Regions from separate parts of the Mus musculus genome. Here regions 1 and 2 are each reported to be linked to region 3. Evidence: microRNA targets listed by miRTarBase, many of them from high-throughput screens and not tested one by one. Region 3 holds a microRNA gene; each other region holds the end of a gene's coding sequence.
Evidence for each region. The annotated mature microRNA mmu-miR-3062-5p reads GGAGAAUGUAGUGUUACCGUGA and lies in region 3 at 2,988-3,009, opposite strand. An mRNA with a match to its seed (bases 2 to 7 or 8) in the 3' UTR can be bound and repressed. Matches are read on the target gene's strand: a 7mer-m8 pairs with bases 2 to 8, a 7mer-A1 pairs with bases 2 to 7 and ends in A, and an 8mer does both.

Region 1 (4,206 bases), not on the chromosome of region 3:
ATCTCTGAGTTCAAGGCCAGCCTGGGACAAAGCAAGTACAAAGTAATGGTACACTGGCACACACCTTTAATTTGGGCCATATCTTCTTCTGGGGACCTACATAAGGACATTGGAAGAAGGAAGAGTCACTCTTCTTCAACTGCTTGCACTTACTAGCCAGCACATCCGTTGGAACCTACTTCTACAGAAGACTAGCTGAAACAACTAGTCTCATGGGACTGAACAACTTCTAGAGTCTTGGACTTCCCACCCACACTGCCCATTGTTGGGTTAGTTGGTCTACAGACTGTAAGTCATCACAATACATTCCCTTAATATAGGGAGACAGCCCATAGGTTTTGTGCCTCTAGTGAACTCTGACTAGTACACCTGTAACCCAGGCTTACAAATGAAACATTTCAGACAATATTTTATTAGTTTGGCCAAAGATTAAAAAACAGTGAAGACACAGGATAAAGGTGACCTGTTGTGTTTGTTTTACTTGACTTTATTGTGGTACTGGGGATGGAACTCAGGGCTCACCTATGCTAGGCAAGCACTTTGTTGGTGAGCTACATTCCAGTCCTAAGGATGATGTCTATTTCTTCACAATAACCCAAAGTGTATTTTACAAATAAAGGATGTATGTGTTCTCTCTGCTTTAAAAAAAAGGCTGTCATCGAATGGCCTAGGCCAGAACTATTCAGCATGGGAGCCACTAGTGACTCCCAAGTCCTCAAAGGTGGCTACTCCAACTTGGAACAAAACATCACATCACATTTTTAAATACTTAGTATGAAACTCATCTTAAAAATATTCCATGAACACTTTTTGTTGAAATGTTATTTTACATGCATTATGTTAAATAAATTTTTATATTATAATTCATCTCACCTAAAAAAGTTTTCCATTACAAACGTGGCTGTAGGCCATTTAAGACCATGAGTGTGACCATATGTGTCTCTTAGCCCTATCTAGGGTGCCAACATTTCACGATTGTTTGGATAGTTTCTTGGAGAGGGTTTTAAAAGAGAAAGCCGTTATAATTTGGCTTTTATTTACCCAGAAGCCCCCATGACTGTGAGGAATCAGTGCTAAGAGTATTAGAACAAGACAGAAAAAGGACAGGAAGACAGGAAACACAAGTGAATTCAGGGAAGAGAATATCAGCTTTTGTGTAAAAAGCTGCCCAGTGAATGCCAGTCGGAGCCTCATGTACGCCATTCCTTAAGCAGTGGGATTTTTTTTTTCACAAGTTCTCCAATTCTCTGTCTGTGCTTTGCCACTAAAGCTCGGAACAACCTAGCACTCGAGCGCTCGCTCTCTCAGTGCTTTCCTGTATAGGCATCACTAGTGTTTTTGTGTAATTACTATCAACACGCTAATGACTGCTTCATGGAAATTCTCCACAAAGGCTTCTCAAATGACACGGAGCACACATCACAACAGAGGTGATCGCAGCTCTAGTGACGCTCTTGCAACATCACCATGACAACTGGAATGGTCACATCTGTCTCATCTACCAAGTAGTTATCAGTATCGGGAGTTCACATGCCCTGTTGTTGACGTTGCTTATTTTCTGGGACACCCCACAGTTCCTTTGTGTTCTTTGCATGATTCCTATAGCTCATCTGTCACTTGGGATTCTGCCACAGTGTATGAAAACTGCTTATAGTATTTACCAACAGAAGATAAAGGGCACTGCGATATTGAGCCTGAGAGCTTTCCATATAGTAATCGAAGCAATGGTAGGAACTGGGGATTGAGCAGATGGGTAGGTGGGTAAGAGCCCTTGTTGTCCAAGCATGAGGACTTGAGTTCAAGTCCCAAGCACCTATGTAAAATGCTGAGTGTGGCCCTTGTGTCCCTGTAACCCCAGTGCTGTGGAGACAAGCCAGGAGGATCACTGGGGCTTGCTGGATGTCAGAGTAGCTTTGGGTTCAGTGAGAGATCTTCTCTCAAGGTAAGAAAAGTAATAGAACAGGACACGTGACATAATCCTTTGTTCTCTGCGCATGCGTGAGAAGACAGCACCCACCCGTGTGCACATTATCACATGCTACATAAATACACACATATGAGAGGGGGGCTCCGAGTTTTGTTTTCAATGACCTTGGCTCACTGAGAATGGTATTAAAAATACAGACTATAGATGTGAGCGAGTGGCATTTAACAGAAGGGCTTCCGGGGCTTGAGGGATGCGCTGGGGATCTGCGTGGAGAGCAGGTCAAAGGTCCCAGCATCCCACATCTAGACAGCACTGCAAAGTGAATTCTGAGTGTGGCCTTGGGAGCTTGAATGTCTACGTTTTTCTGCAGAAGAGCACATGTGGGTGGAGAGTGAGCATGGACTCAGGTATATTTCGAGATCTTTAAGCAACCCCAAGGAAGTAGGGCAACCCACTGAAGAATGAGATCGAATTTATCACCAGTGGAATGCTTGTGTGTCCAGAGCAGTTTGTCATGCTATAAAGTACATTTTGGCCTTTTTTCCTAATGACTTCATGGGTGGTGCCAGTCATGGAGGGGTTTGATGGGGCCCTGACTCATCTGTAGTAAAAGCAGAATAAAACTGGTCACAGAAAATGAAATCTGGATGTGACTTCTGCATTCCTCTTGTCTAGAGTTTTCTACTTTAGAATAAGAAATACGACTTAAGCCAGCAGGTTGTCACCCCCCCCCACAGGGTACTTTACTTTCTGTGTTGGCACCGTATAAAAGTCAGAGAGGACTAAGGGCATAATTCAAATAGAGTACTCTCCGAGCTTGTGTTAGACCCAGGGATTTTGAAGTCTGGCACGACAGTAAAAAATAAATAAGTAAAAACAAAAATCATTTCATAGTAGCAACAAACAGCCCTTAAGTATAAGATATCGTAATTTTAAAGTGAATGTACTACCCACTGCATAAAAATAAGGTAGTGAGGGGCGTGAGGAAGGTGAACTCATCTCATGGGTTTTTCAGTTATTTCTCTGTACGAAAATGAGAGAAAATGACCGGAGCTGTGCTTAAAGTGAATGATGCTATGGTTTCTGAGAATCGAACACGTCACCTAAAGACATTCTGCATACGGATATATGTATGTGTGTGTTGGATGTACACACAGAAATTTGTCAGTTATGAAGTGCTGGGTTTGAATTGCTTGCGAGTGAGTGAGCGAGAGAGAGAGAGAGAGAGAATGAGAATTAAGCATATTACATAACTAAAGTCATTTTTCTGTGGATCTTCTAGTCTAACATTCCGAGTTACCTAGTGCGTTCTAACCTAAATCCTGACCCCACTTTCTCTCCCTTTCGTCTTCATAGTCACAAGGTGGGTTGGAATTTGGCTTCTTCTTTCAGGACCTCTGTGTAAAAGAGCAGAGGCATCCCTTGCAAGAGTCCTATCTTAGCCCTGTGAACAGCTCAATGGTAAGGAGACATAACTGACCTGCCAGCTCTGCACTCTCCCCCGTGGCAGTGAGCTCACACCAACTCTAGGTAAGTTCTAAAGGGAGGGCATGGGCAGGACAGAGCCTGCATGGCAGAAGAGCTTCTTGCCGGTGCTGCTTCATTGAGAGACGTCCCCAAGGTCAGCTGTCTGTTCAGATGTTCCGATACACATCTCTCTGCCAGCAGGGCCCATGGCGGATGAGGACAAGCAGAAGTATCACCAGGATCCCGGTTACCAGGCAAAATGTAGTGGCAAGGATAACCCTCAGCACTGCGAACCGAGAAATACACGCGAAATTAGGACGTTAAGAACGCATGACGATCACAACAAAAAACTCTAAAGAAGATGAAGATCATATATCATTGTTGACTTTGGGCCTTAATTTAAAAATTAAAAAGATGCTTATTTCATGTACAAAAAAAAGTTTATATAACTTTTGCCTTCTTTGTCCTTCTGTTTTTGTTTACTTGCTTGTTTTCAGAGACAGGGTCTCACATAGCCAGAGGGGCCTTGAACTCCCTATGTAGCCAAAGGTGAGCTAGCTTCAACTCGTGATCCTCCTGCCCCAATCTCCCAAGTGCTGGGATTACAGGTTGGGGCCATCCTATCCAGCTTGCCTGCCTTAATTGTAAATTCTAGAGGAATTTCTGAAGTAGCCTTGGATTCCGAAGAGCTAGGGGTCAGGAGGTGACCCCTAGTTTCAGCATGACCTTTGACATTTGGCCTCAGCTCTCTACTACAAACGGAAGGAAACTGGCTGGAGAATCTCCAAGGTCATCTCATAATAACTGCTTTC
Region 2 (4,206 bases), not on the chromosome of region 3:
ATTAGCAATATTTATCGTTTTATTAGGGTTGCTATTAATTTTGAAACTCTTACCATTTACTGTAGCTGATTGTAGTTTTGTGGACAATGTAATTTATAGCTAAAGTGACTTTTTTTTATTCGTAATTTGCCTTTTTATTGTTTAACAGTGTTTCTCAGCTATACAGTCAGTTTCAAACTGGTTGCAAAAGTATAGCTGTGGCCAATGAATGTACTTCTTTGTTTCACTAAATTATAATAAAATGCTACTGTTACAGAGTGCTTTCATTTGAAGGTGTGTTTTCTTAATGTCCCTTAATGGAATCCATTCAATTTTTTTCAAAAAATCTCATTACAAATGAATTAATGAATAATGCATTAAATCTAGACTGTAACACATTATAGCCAGTTTGAAATAAAGCACCATGATCTTAAAGGCAGTGTTATGAGGCAGACACTTACTCAAACATTAAACTAAGAAAAACCCTCATCAAGTGATTTATAACATCTCCCTCCTCCTGAGAATCTTGAAGTTTGTCTAATCTACAATCCTAGCTACCCTTTCATCGAGAAACCCCTGTGGTATTGATTGGTTCATCCCAAAGTAGAACCCACTCGTAACTGACCAAAGACCAAAGATATTTCAATTATTTTCATCTTTATTGCCCCCCACGCCCAGTCTACTGATCCTCACTGTGCAGCAAAGGCAGTGAAGGTACCTGCAGTCAGAACAGCTGTCATGTGAAGCAATTTATTCAACAAACATTTATTAAATGCTCATGTGCCAAACATTATGCTATAGAGGTGCCAAAATGAATAGTTTCTTTTCCTGCCCCTAAGGAGCTCACATTCTAATAAAGGACACTTCATAAAATAAAATATACAGTACAATAAGTGATTCAGTAGAGGTAGGTTGCAGTTACAGTGGTGACCATAGGAAGGGGACAGGGGTAATTTCACAGATTTCAAAAATGCATGGAATTTCCCAGATGAGAAAGAAGCCTAGGGCTCTCAATGCAAATACTGTGTTTGCAAAGGTTTGGAAGGCCAACAACTCTGGACTTTTGGAAAACGTTTTAACACTCTTATCAGAACAGTGGCAAACACAAGAGGAGGGTCTTGGATATCAAGCAGAGACTCTCACCAAAAAGCTCATGAAACTTGCCAGCAGGAATTAGGCTGAAGGTTTCTAGAAAGCCCAATCTGGTGATAGGAGCCAACAGAGAGATGGGAAAAGACAGGTAATCCTTTGGTGATCGTAATAAAAACTGAAAAACACTGATAGAAATGTTGAGAGAAAATCGGCAGAGCTTAAGACACCAATAGTCAGGTGGACGATACAGGAATGAACTGTAAAGCCTTGAACGGTGCAACGGCTCTGAAATTAACCAAGTAAGGAACACAAACATAGAGTAGGTTTGTGGTGACTGAGTCCTTGAAGATGCAGAAGCGACAACAGGCAGCCAAGTGAGCACAGCAGAGAGACAGACTGAGAAGCTAAAATGAGATTACTGCATTGAAATTACTCAAAAGTACGGTCCAGTGACTTAAGAGCAAAAAGTCTGAGGAATGATACTTAGGTTAAATGAAGAGACCAGAAGAAAGATACCCAGGAGTAATCCAAACACAAGGACACAAAGGAATAGGGATTGTCAATTGTGTCATGTACAGGAAAAGTTAAGATTTCTTAAAAATTAAACTGCTTGTTAACTATAAACTTAGAATTAGGTATTAGACTTCACTTGGAGGGACAGAGGACATAGCCAATCAAGTGGGAAAAGCACGTGAAAGCAGTGAGGGTTTCAAAAGGGCTGGCTTGTGTGTGGTGATCATTTAGTTCTTTTAAGTCCCCAAGAAAACTGACCTAATTAGTGGGTTGATGTCTTTTATTATGAGATCCAAAAGAAAAAGTGAGAGGGAGGGGGAAATAGGATACATTACTAAACAAGCTACATCACCATCACTTAACGTATACTAAATACATATACTTTCCATCAATAAATATTAGACACCAACTGTATGCCTGGCACTAGACCAAGTCTTAGGGACAGAGAAAATACACAACAGTGTAAAGTGACATTCCTAGCCATTACATACGTAAGTCCTGCTTTTTCTTATGTGACATCTCAACCAGTCCTAACTGCTCAAGACATTAGATGTGACCTCAAGGGGGCATAATTTTGAGGTATATGCCATTTATAATTGCCATGTGATGTAAATTCTTAAGCCACATCAAATACTGCTCTCAGTGTAGAGCTTCTACTAACAACCCATCCTATCTACGTTACAGCTCCATCCTGTGGAGAAAAACAGAGTTTCATGCGTAAAAACATGAGTTGTATAGCCTGTGACTACACAGGTCGAAAAAGGCAACCAAATTCAAACGTCAGGTGGCTGGGATGTGGGATGTCTCCTTATTTTAAGGCTTATAGTAAGTAGTTCAGCTCAGATTTGTAAGGTTTGGATATTCCTTTAAAAAGAAAACAAAAAATAGTTTTTAGGAAATTATTGACCACCACACTGAAGTATTTTGGGTTAAATCATGAGGCCCATGACTCAAACCCTTAAATAAAAACAGGGTGTCTATGTCTATGTAGGAGCTTAAGCAAGGCCTGAGGACACAGCTCATGAATGCAGGGCTAGCCCAGCATGACTGAGGTCCTGGGCTCAATCGCCACTCTGAGCTGGGGTGAGGGGTTAAAACACATGTGAACAATCCATGAATCTGAGTAAAACCAGTTTGGTTTTTTTTTTAACTGTTTTTGAAACTTTTCTGTAAATATGAAATTATATAAAAATAAAATTTTCCCCAAAATTCCATTAGGGAAACTATTATGAGAATAAATATATAATCTATTTATCTTTCTACGATGTTTAGAAATCTCCTGTGCCTTTGAATTGTTCTACTTCCCAACATACCAAAACAGCACAATCAAAATAGCTATTTAACTCTAAAAGGAATGTTTCATACCAGTGTATTTTAAGGTTGCCAGGAAAACACAGGGCTCCCAGTTAAACTTGAACTTCGAGCAAATAACTTGTAGTATAAATAGGCCCTAATAAACTTCAACACACTTAACATTGAAAGGAAAACTGGTTGCTTTTCTAAAACTTAAATCTAACTGGGCAGTCTGTATTTTCTTTGTATATGAGGCAAATGAAAAAGCATTGGTATCTGAGGCTGATAACCATGGTTTACTGCTGAGCCTCTTAGTATTTTATTACCAAACACTTGTCACAGGTACCTTAGCTTAGCTTTCATTACCTTCTTAAATTCAACTCTAGTTTGAGAGCCTAAGGCAATATTTACCTAGCTTTATCATAAGGGAGTTTAATGACCTTACTTTTGCTTAGTATTAAAATTTGTATATTATCAAAATACTACTTCTATTCACAATAATATTAAACATGAACACAATTTTTAAAAATGTCATTTACTTAAGACAATGTATCTCTTCTTTTACAAAAGCAGCTTTATATAAACGTTTGGCTTAGGACAGTCATTGCAACCATGGTGCTCAGAGAGATTCTGCCCTTCAGATTCCCCTGTGCAGAAACAGGCACATTCCAACCGTCCTCCTCAGTGAACATTCTGTAACAAGTGCCTGAAGTTCTCTAGTTCTCTCACACTTGTGGAAATCCTGTAACCAAGAAACATTTCATGTAAAAACTGTCTTTCATAAATTCTATTAATCATTCTGCATTTTTTAGAATATATAAAAATTTTAAAGTAGTTTATTTCAACAAATTGAAAGGTACATAAGGGCTGGCAAGATGGCTCAGCGGTTAAGAGCACTGACTACTCTTCCTGAAGGTCCAGAGTTCAAATCCCAGCAACCACATGGTGGCTCACAACCACCCATAATGAGATCCGATGCCCTCTTCTGGTGTGTCTGAAGACAGCTACAGTGTACTTCCATATAACAATAAATAAATTTAAGAAATAAAAATAAATAAATAAATAAACCATCAGGTAAACATTTAAAAAAAAAAAGTACATAAATCTACTTATATCCTTTAGTTTTTAATCTGGCAAGGAAAACCCAAGATAATATTGCCCAACACAAGCTAACTTTTAATATTCAAGTATTAAAAATATATATGTATATGTATATAAGTGTGTATTTTAAATATCCAGAGCTATGCTGAGGTATTTAAAGCACACCAATATTTAGTGTAAAATATATAACAGCATCAGAATACTTATATATTTTAGGTATTCATAAAT
Region 3 (4,206 bases):
CTAACCAAGAGAATGAAGGATCACAAGGCGATGATCCCGGGAGGGCTGCCAGTAAATCTCTGCCCACCCCTCTGCCTGTCAGCTGTCCTCGGAGCCTGAGCCGCTTGCTGAAGATCCATGTTAAACTCAAGAGCTGAAAGCAGCTCTTGCAGGGGCAAGGCTAAAATGAGCAATGCAGCTGAGGTCATCCCAGCATTTTGGTTCTTGCTAAGATGCTTTTGGAAATCACATGGGATACTCCTGAAAGCAATGGGGAAAGAAGGCAACGGAGTCAAAGGGTGAGCTGTGGGCCAGGGTGGTCATGCGGCCTCCTCAGCAGCTGTCCTCCTGGGTCCAGTTCCTAGCATTGATGAAGAGCTGCAGCCACGGGGAGGTGGGAAGAACATCAAAGGGAGAGGGTCGCCATGCCCACTGCCAAAGCCTTACAGCCCGCTCAGGGTGCGGCATGAGTGCCAGGTGTCGGCCATCTTGGGAACAGATACCAGCTATGCCCCCTGGAGATCCATTGGGGTTCAGAGGGTACTGCTCTGTGGGGTTCCCATCATCGTCTGCCCAGTGCAGAGGAACCAGGCCCTTGGCCTCGATCTTGGCTTGGAGTTCAGGAGAAGAAAATGCCATGTAGCCTGGAAGTGAAGGAGAAGAGAGTGAAGGCCAAGTTCCTTCAGGCCCAGCCCCAGCCCCAGCTTGCAAACCCTCCCCTGCCTTCCCAGCCTGACCTTCCCCGTGAGCACTCCACACGGGCAGCACAGAGCCTTCCATCCCTCGGAGCATCAGGGCTGGCCCCGGCTCCACACGTACGGTGGCCCATCGGGACTCGAACCGCCCAGACAGATTGTGGCGGAGCAGGAGGCCCGGCTGTGTTGGCTGGGAGTCCTGGCCTGGCTCAGCTTGCTCTTCACTGGGATCACTTCCCACCCAGCCCAGAAGAGCCAGCAGCTGACAGCCATTACACACGCCCAGGCTGAAGGTGTCCGGCCGCCTTCGGAATCGGCCCAGCTCTTCCCTGGCCTGTGGATTAAAGGTCACCGCAGCTGCCCAACCTAGGAAGAACAGTTAAGCCAGAGTGAGAAAAGGCCTGAGAAAGGGCTGGAGAGATGATGGCTCAGTGGTTAAGAGCACTGACTGTTCTTCCGAAGGTCCTGAGTTCAAATTCCCAAAACCACAACTATCTGTAATGAAATCTGAGGCGCTCATCTGGTGCATCTGAAGATAGATATAATAATAAAGGGGCTGGAGGGATGGCTCAGTGGTTAAGAGCACTGACTGCTCTTCCAAAGGTTCTGAGTTCAAATCCCAGCAACCACATGATGGCTCACAACCATCCATAATGAGATCTGAAGACAGGTACAGTGTACATATATATAATAAATTAATAAATCTAATAAATAAATAAATCTATCTAAAAAAAAAAAAGCCGGAGAAAGCAAAAGCAGGGCGTGAAGGGAATGACATGACAGCCCTCTATTCTAAATCGGTCTCTTCAGACCCTGGGACAGCCTTGAGGAAAGAAACAGCCTGATCTGCTTTAATCAGATAGCCTGACAGGATCCATGAATCTCTCTCTCTCTTTTTTTTTTTTTTTTTTTGAGACAGGGTTTCTCTGCATAGCCCTCCTGGCTGTCCTGAACTCACTTTTTAGACCAGGTTGGCCTCAAACTCAGAAATCCACCTCTCAAGTGCTGAGATTAAAGGCATGCGCCCGGCCCATGAATTTCTCTATGCTAAGCAAAAATATATTTTTTTAATGCTATGTAGTTATCTAAGCCTCAACAGTACAGCAGTTAAGAGCACTGACTGCTCTTCCAGAGGTCCTGAGTTCAAATCCCAGCAACCACATGGTGGCTCACCACCATCTGTAATGGGGTCTGATGCCCTCTTCTGGTGTGTCTGAAGATATCGACAGTGTACTCATATACATAAAATAAATTAATTAATCTTTTAAAAAAAAAGGCTAAAGTAAGATGGCTACCTTTTGAGTTTGAGCAGCTTCACAAAACTGTATCTCATTAAAAAAGGGAAAAGACTTCACGCACAAAAAGCCTGATCCTTTGCCCTCCCTTGATCTAGTTGTGCTGAACCATCTTTCCACAGAACAGGACAACCTGATCAAGTTGAAGAGCAGTCAACTGTTCAGATGAGGCATGCCTTCTAGGCTTGTACAGCTCAGGAAAGCCAGCCATCCTCCTGCTGGCCTCTGGTCTTGAAACAGAGCACTCTGCCTGACTTGTGAGGGCAACAAGTTGGCTGCAGTCTGGGCAGAAGCAGCCGAAGACATTTTAGCAGGGAATGTGGAAATGGCAGATCCAGACTGCACACTGACCTTTAGCAGAGCCCAGGACGTCTGCGTAGCTGAAGCCGCCCACAAAGGCCACACCACGGAATGTGTCCAACCTGATGGCCCCAGAGCAGAGATCTTGCATGGTCACATCCCACACCTAATACGACAGGGAGGAAACCGTTAGAAGACTTATAGCCAAGACAAGATCAAGATCTCCAGCTCTGTTAGGTACCAGGCTTACCTCAAAGCCTGCCAAGTGAAAGGCATCAGCCATTTCTCGGTCTCCATTGCTGCCCTCTTCTCGCAAGATGGCAACTCGAGGGACGGGTCCACCTGGAAGATGTGTCTCTGAGCAGAATGCTACCTATCCACTCTAAAACCCCAGATGCCTTCCCAAGGGCAGATCCAAGTACCCCAGCCTCTGTGCACGCTCCCTTACCAGGTTTACAGGGCACAGAGGCCACAGGAAAGGTGGGCGGCAGGTAGTAGCTGGGCCCTGTCCGCTCCTTCAGGCCCTGTTTCTCCTCTATCACACAGCGTGGCTCTGCCTGCAGTAGGTCCAGCTGGAAACTTGTTTCCTCCCAGAGGGCTCTTAACTCCCCAACAGGCTCCTCTACTACCACAGCCTTATTCACTGATATTCGGGCCTGCAGTGGGGAGACCCATGAAGGAGAAAGTGTGTCCCCGTGAGTGGTATTTGCTGACAGGCTCACGGTAACACTACATTCTCCCTGGCTTCCTCACCATGGCCTGGGGTCCAGCCTCGCCTGTGTGGCCCAGTTCCAGACACCGTAGGCCAGCACTCTCGTACCTCTGCCGTACTCCGGCCACATCTGCCTCCTGTACCTCCAACACCAGACCGGGCTCTTCCGCAAACAGCACAGGCAATGCTGGAAAAAGGGGTGAGTCCGGATGACTCGGGTGAGATGGGTTCTGGAGGAGGAGCTCATGGAAGATGCACCAGGGACTATGAGAGGTCGTAGACGGCCAAAGTTCAGAACATGAAGATAGAAATGGAGGATTCAGCCAAGACTCAGGAGATAGGGTCAGAGATACCACATTCTTTATACCAGAAAATCTACAAGTAGAGGAGACAGCCCAAGCAACTCACCATGGATCCCAGGGGCAGGTACATCTACCTCTATCCCACAGTTCCCAGCAAAGGCCATCTCTAGAAGGCAGGTGACAAGCCCCCCATCGCTGACATCATGGCCTGAGCAAAGACGGCATTCTGGAGGAACAAGGAAAAATTCAGCCATCTCAGGGCAAGCCTAAGGCTCCAGAGCATCTAGAGAGCCAGGGAGTGTGAGAAGGCGGGCACTCACGGGAGAGAAGGGTTTGGCCTGAAGGCACATCACTCACTTGTTCACCCCCCCCCCCCCGCCCCCACGTACCAGGGCCACGCTCACCTTTCAGCAGCCCCTGGGTGATATGAAAGGCACGCACAAGGTTCTCGGGAAGGTCTAGATCAGGAGGGTGCTCCCCAAGCTGGGAGAAACACTGGGCTAGAGCCGTTCCTCCCAGCCGGTGCTGCCCGGGGCTCAAAGGCACATAAAGCAAATGACCTAAGAAAGCAAAGTGGGACGGCAGCTCAAGACAGCACTCACAGTACACAGTAGGACACTACCAATTTCCAGCCCTAAAAAGCAGTGCACCTCAGGGCTGAGACAAGGGGGACCAGGACTCATAAAGTAGACCTCAAAGCAAGGAGCAAGCTCAGAACAGAACCACAAGGACAAGGGGGACGGAGCCATACCTTTCCCACCAGGATGTTTGAGGTCTGGGGTCACAGTGGCTGTGATGTCTGGACAGACAGCATATGCTGAAATGACCAGTGACCCTACCGAGCAAAGAGAAATAAGACCAAGTGAGGTAGCAGCCCAGGCCCACAGGTCCTTCTTCCCTCTCACAAGGGCCTCATCCTTACC

Region 1: the mRNA of Acpp is a reported target of mmu-miR-3062-5p. Seed matches in the 3' UTR shown: 7mer-A1 at 3,158-3,164, 7mer-m8 at 3,153-3,159, 7mer-A1 at 3,012-3,018 and 8mer at 2,102-2,109.
Region 2: miRTarBase lists Ero1a as a target of mmu-miR-3062-5p. Seed matches in the 3' UTR shown: 7mer-A1 at 2,814-2,820.

What each region holds. Positions count from the first base shown.
Region 1 is chr9:104,287,850-104,292,055 of GRCm38, forward strand. Acpp (acid phosphatase, prostate) reads right to left here. Exons shown (of 11, transcript NM_207668.2): 11 at 391-3,680. The coding sequence ends at 3,562. Among named protein-coding and RNA genes, the nearest start is that of Dnajc13, 27 kb to the left of the region's middle.
Region 2 is chr14:45,282,470-45,286,675 of GRCm38, forward strand. It overlaps Ero1a (endoplasmic reticulum oxidoreductase 1 alpha), which reads right to left. Exons shown (of 16, transcript NM_015774.3): 16 at 618-3,619. The coding sequence ends at 3,559. It also overlaps a transcript of Gpr137c not described here. Among named protein-coding and RNA genes, the nearest start is that of Ero1a, 34 kb to the right of the region's middle.
Region 3 is chr11:68,987,651-68,991,856 of GRCm38, forward strand. Mir3062 (microRNA 3062) reads right to left here and starts at 3,028; the gene lies at 2,924-3,028. It overlaps Pfas (phosphoribosylformylglycinamidine synthase (FGAR amidotransferase)), which reads right to left. Exons shown (of 28, transcript NM_001159519.1): 19 at 4,206; 20 at 4,035-4,118; 21 at 3,688-3,843; 22 at 3,390-3,509; 23 at 3,023-3,168; 24 at 2,718-2,925; 25 at 2,520-2,611; 26 at 2,321-2,435; 27 at 717-1,040; 28 at 1-623. The coding sequence ends at 313.